Linked DNA regions of Callithrix jacchus. The protein of the gene in region 2 interacts with the protein of the main gene of each other region in a pairwise test. Links are inferred from orthologs where the notes say so. Each region holds a gene or a part of one and is shown on either strand. Other genes may lie near its edges.

Evidence for each region. The genes of interacting proteins can lie anywhere in the genome.
Region 1: the proteins of CREB3 (region 2) and VTI1B interact in a two-hybrid assay, tested with the Homo sapiens proteins (2 studies listed by BioGRID and IntAct). The two-hybrid records come from large-scale screens. The link is inferred for Callithrix jacchus from reciprocal best matches to the Homo sapiens genes CREB3 and VTI1B.

Annotation. Positions count from the first base shown.
Region 1 is NC_133509.1:102,653,936-102,657,409, forward strand, and holds part of VTI1B (vesicle transport through interaction with t-SNAREs homolog 1B), read right to left. Parts: intron 2,281-3,474; coding exon 2,107-2,280; intron 1-2,106. UniProt on the Homo sapiens protein: V-SNARE that mediates vesicle transport pathways through interactions with t-SNAREs on the target membrane. These interactions are proposed to mediate aspects of the specificity of vesicle trafficking and to promote fusion of the lipid bilayers.
Region 2 is NC_133502.1:142,636,666-142,640,414, forward strand, and holds the start of CREB3 (cyclic AMP-responsive element-binding protein 3), read left to right. Parts: upstream 1-1,541; 5' UTR 1,542-1,731; coding exon 1,732-1,866; intron 1,867-1,959; coding exon 1,960-2,107; intron 2,108-2,178; coding exon 2,179-2,246; intron 2,247-2,359; coding exon 2,360-2,449; intron 2,450-3,749. UniProt on the Homo sapiens protein: Endoplasmic reticulum (ER)-bound sequence-specific transcription factor that directly binds DNA and activates transcription. Plays a role in the unfolded protein response (UPR), promoting cell survival versus ER stress-induced apoptotic cell death.

The DNA of each region.
Region 1 (3,474 bases), on a different chromosome or scaffold from region 2:
AGTGTGTTACTGCTTTTGGGATCTCGTTATCTTTTTTCTTTACCCTCTTAAGAGACAGTTACATTGAATTGTGAAAGGAATTAACCTCCATGGAACTTTCAACTGCCTGCTACTAATCTGGACAGCTGGAGGATATTTCACCTCCAGCAGATGTCCACCTGCCATCTGTTCCCATTCCCCAGTGGCCTTGGTAAGCTGATCTCTCAGCTTATTCCTTGGCTTTTATTTATTTGAGACAGGGTCTTGCTCCATCACTCAGGCTGGAGTGCAGTGCTGCAGTCGCAGCTCACTGCGGCCTCAACCTCCCAGATTCAAGTAACACTCCCAGCTCAGTCTCCCAAGTAGCTGGGATCACAGTTGTGTACCACCACACCCTACTTTTTTTGATTTTTAGTAGAGATGGGGTTTCACTATGTTGCCCAGGCTGGTTTCAAACTCCTGGGCTCAAGCCATCCTCCCACCTCAGCCTCCCAAAGTACTAGGATTATAGGTGTAAGCCTGGCCTCCTGGGCTTTTAAATTCAACCAATCTACTTGGTATGTTCAAAAACCAGAACCCCTATGATCTGTAAGCAAATTATATTCTTCATAGCTTGCCTTGAATTTAGTACTTTATTGTGAATTTTCACTGAAGAGGGAAGGGCATTACTCTGACTTAATGGAGAATTCTAGCTATTAAGATCTACTCAAATCTTCACACTGAGCTAGTATTTTCCTGTCCAAATCTTGGTCCCAGTATGTTTTTCAATCTGATTTGCCTTCTGCTATTAAGAATACACATTCTATTGGCAAACTGTACTAATTTAAAATTCCAGCCAGGCACAGTGGCTGTAATCCCAGAGTTTTGGGAGGCCAAAGTGGAATGATTACTTGAGCCCAGGAATTCAAGAGCAACCTCACCAACACAGTGAGACCTGGTCTTTACAAAAAATTACAATTAGCCAGGCACAGTGGCACATGCCTGTAGTCCCAGCTACACACAAGGATCACTTGAGCCCAGGAGTTTGAAGGTACCGTAAGCTATAATTGCACTGCTGCACTACAGCCTGGGTGATAGACCAAGACCCTGTCTCTAAAAAACTAAAAAATTCCTATGAAGGTTAACTATTTATGGAAAGGAAAAAATAAATGAGTTCTTTTTCGGAGTCTCTCAGAGTGACAGCAAACTAGAGTTCCCTGATACAGTCGTCACTTGGTTTAAATATTTGTTTTCTTTCCACAATGATCCAGCTTACCTTACTGGATAATCCTTAGAGATTTTTTTCCCTATTGCTTTTTTTTTTTTTTAAGTATTATATAATAGTAAAGAGTTATAGTCTAGAATTGAACCATAATTTATATAATCTATAAACTGCCTATAAACAGTGGTACTATTTTAGGAAATCTGGAAAATAGCCTCAACTCTAAATGACAGGGTGTAAGTAGATGATGTTTTCATAAGAATAGCAGAATACTGTACTAGATGTATGAGAAATTAAAATCTCATATTGGCAGCTTTTAATTCCTGTAATCTTTTAAGTGCATAAATCAGGTTCCTTCTGTCATTTTTTCCTTTCATTGAAGCAAAAATTTCCAATGATGTCTAAATCTTAGGAGTAAAATTACTTCTAACAGAGATCTCTCAGCCAAGCAAACTTAAAAATTGAGAAAAGCAGCCGCGTACAGCGGCTCATGCCTGTAATCCTAGCACTGTGGGAGGCTGAGCCAGGTGGATCACCTGAGATCAGGAGTTCAAGATCAGCCAGGCCAACATGGTGAAATGCCATCACTACTAAAAATACAAAACTTGGCTGGGTGTGGTGGCACATGCCTGTAATCCCAGCTACTCGGGAGGGTGAGGCAGGAGAATCGCTTGAACCCAGGATGCAGAGGTTGCAGTGAGCGGAGCACACCACTGCACTCCAGCCTGGGCAACAAAGCAAGACTCCATCTCAAAAAATATAAATAAATAAATAAATAAATAAAAATTGAGAGAAGCATAAGAACCTAAAAAAGACTATTCCCTGAATTCAGAACTGCCGTAGCTTTTGGTCTTAGTATGGTTTCCAGGTGCAGTGGCCTCTCAATTTCCCCATACTTGCCCCTTTCCCTTTCTGCCCAGCCTTACTCTATTCTTTGTGCGTTCTAACTGGTCTCGTTGTTCCCCCAGCTCTTCTATGATTTCTGAACCAATCTGGTCAGTCTCCGTGGCAATCCGATGAGAACGTTCAATACTTTGGGTGGCCCGGTTCAGGCTTTCAGTGCCTTGTAGAAGCAGTGACCTTTGAGACTGCAGCCGATTCTGAAAGGAGTATGGAAGACAAATGTTAAGACTTCTTCCATTATAAATTCATTGCCAGCATATTCCTCCTGACCTTCCCCATGTAAGAAGGGATACAGTAAGCAATAATTTTCATTCCTTTTAAGACAGAACCAAAGCTAATGATTCTTTTCAAGGTTATAGACTAAAGCATAACCGGAAATCCAATTAATAGGATCACAATACCCTTACTCCACTGCCTTTTACACTTACACGAGGCAAGGAAAGATGGATTAAAAATACTGGAGCACTTTCCCTGTGTTGGTGATGAATTTGAACTGGTCCATATGTTTCCTGGACTATCAACTTCTGAAAGGTGGCAGCCCAGATGTGGCAGGTGTAGAAGCTACCTGATAATGCATATAGCCTGTAACTTTGATAGTAATATGGGCAAACCAACTAAACTCTGCAGCCCTAGAAAAAAAATTAATTCACTGAAGATACCCACTTGACTGGGACTGAGGATTGAAGGATCATGAATGAGCTATTCTTTTCTTCGTTTTAAGCCTCTGGCACCTGGTATTTACAGGGGGTCTCCCATCCAAGTACTAACCAGGCCTTAGCTTCTGAGATAGGGTGTGTTCAGGGTGGAATTGCCTAGATGAATAAATTCTTCTTTTTCAGCATGTAAAGAAATCATTTAGAAGTCTGAGACACTACCACATTCTGGAAAAAAATGTATGTGGTTCACTCTTGATGAGCTCCACAAAGAACTTCACCTGAGGTCAAACAAAAAACCCTGAGCTGCCACACTGGGGGTGATCTGGTCTCAGGGAAATTAGTGTCTGGGGCTTGAGCAAGCTTCCCCAGCTGCCCTAATTTCTCAAGTACCCTAATTTTCTAAATCCTCACCAAAACCTGTAATCCTAAATGCAGACAGCATGAAGATGAAAGTAGCTTTTGTCAGGCCAGAATTAATAACCACTGACAGAAATGGCAGCAGCTCTAAGTTCTTAGCTGTTCAAAGCACACACACACACACACACACACACACACAATCAAAAGGTACCCAGCTCACAGAGGCTTATTACAGAGCAGGTGACCACTGGCAGTAGGATCATCAAGAAGCCAAAAGATTGGCTCTCAGACCAGAAGTAGCAAGAAGTAGCATTTTCTTTTTTCTTGAGACAAAGTCTCACTGGAGTGCAGTGGCGTGATCTCAGCTCACTGCAGCCT
Region 2 (3,749 bases):
AACTTAAAGAATGGAATACAGAAGCTGGAATCCCAGATGCCTACAATTCTAGCTGAAGCCAGAACGCTACCCTGAAATTAGTTCGTCATCTCTCTGGGTGTAAAGAAGCCCCTGTAACTACATAGGAATAAAGAACTTCCCTACAAAAGAAGGGCATTTACCTACTGCCAACCTCTTAAATTTTATCTGCTCAAGGTCAACTATGCTAGCCTCAAACCACAACCCCTAAAGCTGCCTCAAATTCCTAATACTAACCCCACCTCTAATTTGTTTTCTGATTCCCAGTACTGGCTTGGACATTCATCTCTTTCCTAGCAAAGACCCATATTCAATCCCTGAACCCTAACACTGATCTACGTTTTACCTTTAGCACCAAATCCCCTGATGTTAACCCTAAATGTTGACCCCAAAGCCTAAAGTTCATTTGTAAACTGATTCCTAACTCACCCTTTCACTGTTTATTCTTAATAGTGAGCATGCCAACGTTCTTTAATCCCCCAAACAGATTTCTAACCTGATTCCTGTTGTTGACCCTTAACCCGATCCTGAACTCAAATTATGACGAATGCTGGCCATGCCAGTAAACAAAATAATGACCTTAATCTAAACCTTACCTATCCAAAACGGACCTGACTCACACTGACTCAAGTTTTAACTCCAGCTTTTAACTCCTACAGCGACCCCTCATTCCTAAACCGATCCCACCTAATCTGCAACTCACCCAAAGCTTTCCTACCCACATGCCCGCTATCAGCTAACACCAAAGCCCGTCCCCGCCCTGCGCCCCGCTGCCACCCGACTCCTCACGCTCCCCAACGCCTATCCCAGGCAGAGGACTGCTCCGAGGAAAGGTCTGTCTCCCCTAAGACGGCCTACTTCACGCCAAGCCCAGGTCGAGATGCGCTGGACCCTGACCTCTCCTACTAATAGGACCCGAACCGGACACGAAGGAGAGGCAGGGCCCCGCCTGCCCGCCACCAGGGCCAGGTTCCGCGGCCCCACCCTAAGGCCCCCGCCCGGCCCAGCCCGGTCCGGTCCAACCTACCTGCGCTGCCTGGCTCTGCGCCCTGCCCGCCGGCCCGCAGCCCTGAGGCTTCTCGGGTCGCCCTCTGGCTCCGGCCTCGCCTTCCCTTCGACACTCCCTCGGCCACTTCCGTCCCAGGAACGTCCCCCACCCGCGGGCGGCGCCCTGGGCTCGCGCTCTATGGTCGTGGGGCCGGCAGGAAGCTGCTCTGGCCCCGGTCTCGATGCTCAGGAGCCGCCGAAGCCCGGCAGCCACTCCCCGGCAGGAAGCGAGGGTACGGCGCAATGCTGAGACGACGCCCGGATGACGCCTGAGCTTCCTTTTAGGCCTGAACTCTTAATTTTTCCAGCCTGGGGGAGAAGGCGGAGCCGGAGCCCCGGAGCCTCCGCCCTCGGGGTGCGAGGCGACGGCAGGGCCGTCCCCTGTATTTGCATAGCCCTTGGGACGTGGCGCGGCACCCAGGCCGCCTTCCAGTTGGAGAGAACTCCAAGTCCCAGAATGCCACGGGGCCGGGTGCGTCACTTTCGCTGTGTTGGAGGCTGAGGAGAATTGAGCCTGGGAGGTGGGTCCGGAGAGGGCTACGGATAGCCCCGGCGGGGAAGCCCGGCCGTAGAGGGGCGGTGGAAAAGTGCCAAAGGCCGACAGCTGATCTGGGACTCGTGTCTGGGCTTCGGACGTTGGGGCCCCGTGGCCCACCCTTTACGTAGATGTCTCAAATGGAGCTAGAATTGGATCCTGGTGACGAAGACCTGCTGGGCTTCCTGCTAGAGGCAAGTGGAGATTTGGGGACGGCGCACGAGGCCATCAGGGCCCCACTGGACTGGGAGCTGCTGCTTTCTGAGGTGGGTTGGGATTGCGACTGGGGAAAGCGTGGGATGTCCATGAGGTCAGGTGATGGTTATAGGTCAAGGCCTGTTCATTGGAACCCTGCGCAGGTACCGAGTGACTGGGAGTTAGATGATTTGCTGAGCTCACTGCTGAGTCCCCCAGCATCGTTGAACGTTCTCAGCTCCTCCAACCCCTGCCTTGTCCACCACGACCACACCTACTCCCTCCCACAGGAAGCTGTCTCTGTTGATCTAGGTGAGTCTGAAGTAAGTTTGCTGGGAGGAGAGGATTCATGGGCCTGGCTATTCATACTTTCCCTTTTGCAGAGAGTGAGAGCTTTGGAAAAGAGGAGACCCAGATGACTACACAGCATGTGGAGGAAATGGCAGAGCAGGTACTTGACTTGATTTTCAGGAAGATTACTCTCACATTCCCCAGGTGGGGCAGGATTCCCCATTCCTCTCTGACATCCCCATGCAACTGCTGCCCACTTTCTTGTTACCCTAGGAGACTGTTAGGTTGGTACTGACAGATGAGGAGAAGAGTCTATTGGAGAAGGAGGGGCTTATTCTGCCTGAGACACTTCCTCTCACTAAGGTAAGACTCTCATTGGTTGAGCAAAGGCTGAAAGGGAGTAAGAGTCCCAAGTAGGCCAGTTTTGTTAACTTTATATCAATAACTTTAAAAAAGGATTGAGTTGAGAAAATTAGCAGATTTGTTGCTAATAAGAAGTTGGGGCAGGTACCTAATGTGCTAGATGCAAGGGCAGATACTCGTATTTGTTGGGCTTACTTATACAAATTTTGGTGTTCTGCCTAAAAAAAAAATCATCAATGTAACTTAGTATTGGGCCTTGGAAAGGACTGTGTAAGTGAAGGGCCTTGACACTTCATTGGCTTGATAGTAGTCTACCTCTTGCTGAATGGTAAAAATGTTTAGAGTTCAACAGGGGTGGACTAAGCAGGACATGAATAAATGTAAAATCCTGAGTTTTAAGTTTTAAGCAATGAGCAGCAACTTCACAAGCAGAGTACTGTGATACTATGATGAAATCAGTGCTCATTAATAAAAAGGTTACAGGAATTTTTTCTTTTTGACAGGGTCTTGCTCTGTTGCCCAGGCTGAAGTACAGTGGTGTGATCATGGCTAACTGCAGCTTTGACTTTCTGGGCTTAGGTGATTCTCCCACCTCAGCCTCCCAAGTAGCTGAGACTACAGGTGCATACTACCCTGCTCAGCAAAATCTTTTCTGGTATTTTTAGTAGAGATGGAGTTTTACCTTGTTGCCAGGCTGGTCTTGAACTCCTGGGCTCAAGTGATCTACCCACCTGGAGCTACCAAAGTGCAGAATTTTAATTTCTTCAAAGTACAAGATGAATCGGCAGTGTGATGTGGCTACTAGGAAAGTGAATGGAATTTGGAGACTGTAGCAATAGAGTTATTGCCTCTATAAGTGACTCTCTTGCTTTCCTTTATACTGGGTAGAGCACATCTTAATGTCCAATTTTGAGACCATCTTTGACAGATATTAAGAGGATGCAGGCTATCCTAAGATGATGTTAAAAATTTTGTGTAAGTTTTTTTTTCTTTTTTTTAAGCTCTGAGGAAATGTTAAGTGCCTTAAAATAGCTAACACAGTTCATTCTATTTGGCCCCAGAAATACTAGGTAAGTCTAATGGATAGAAATTATAAGGAGGCAGCTGTTGGTTCAGGATAAGAAAGTTTTGTTTAAAGACAGGTTCTTTCTTTATTGCCCAGGTTGGAGTATAGTGGCAAGATCATGGCTCACTACAGCTTTGACCTCTCAGGCTCAAGCCATCCTCCTGCCTCAGCCTCCTGAGTAGTGGGACCACAGGTGTGTGCTACCACACCCAGCTAATTTTTTATTTTTAGTAG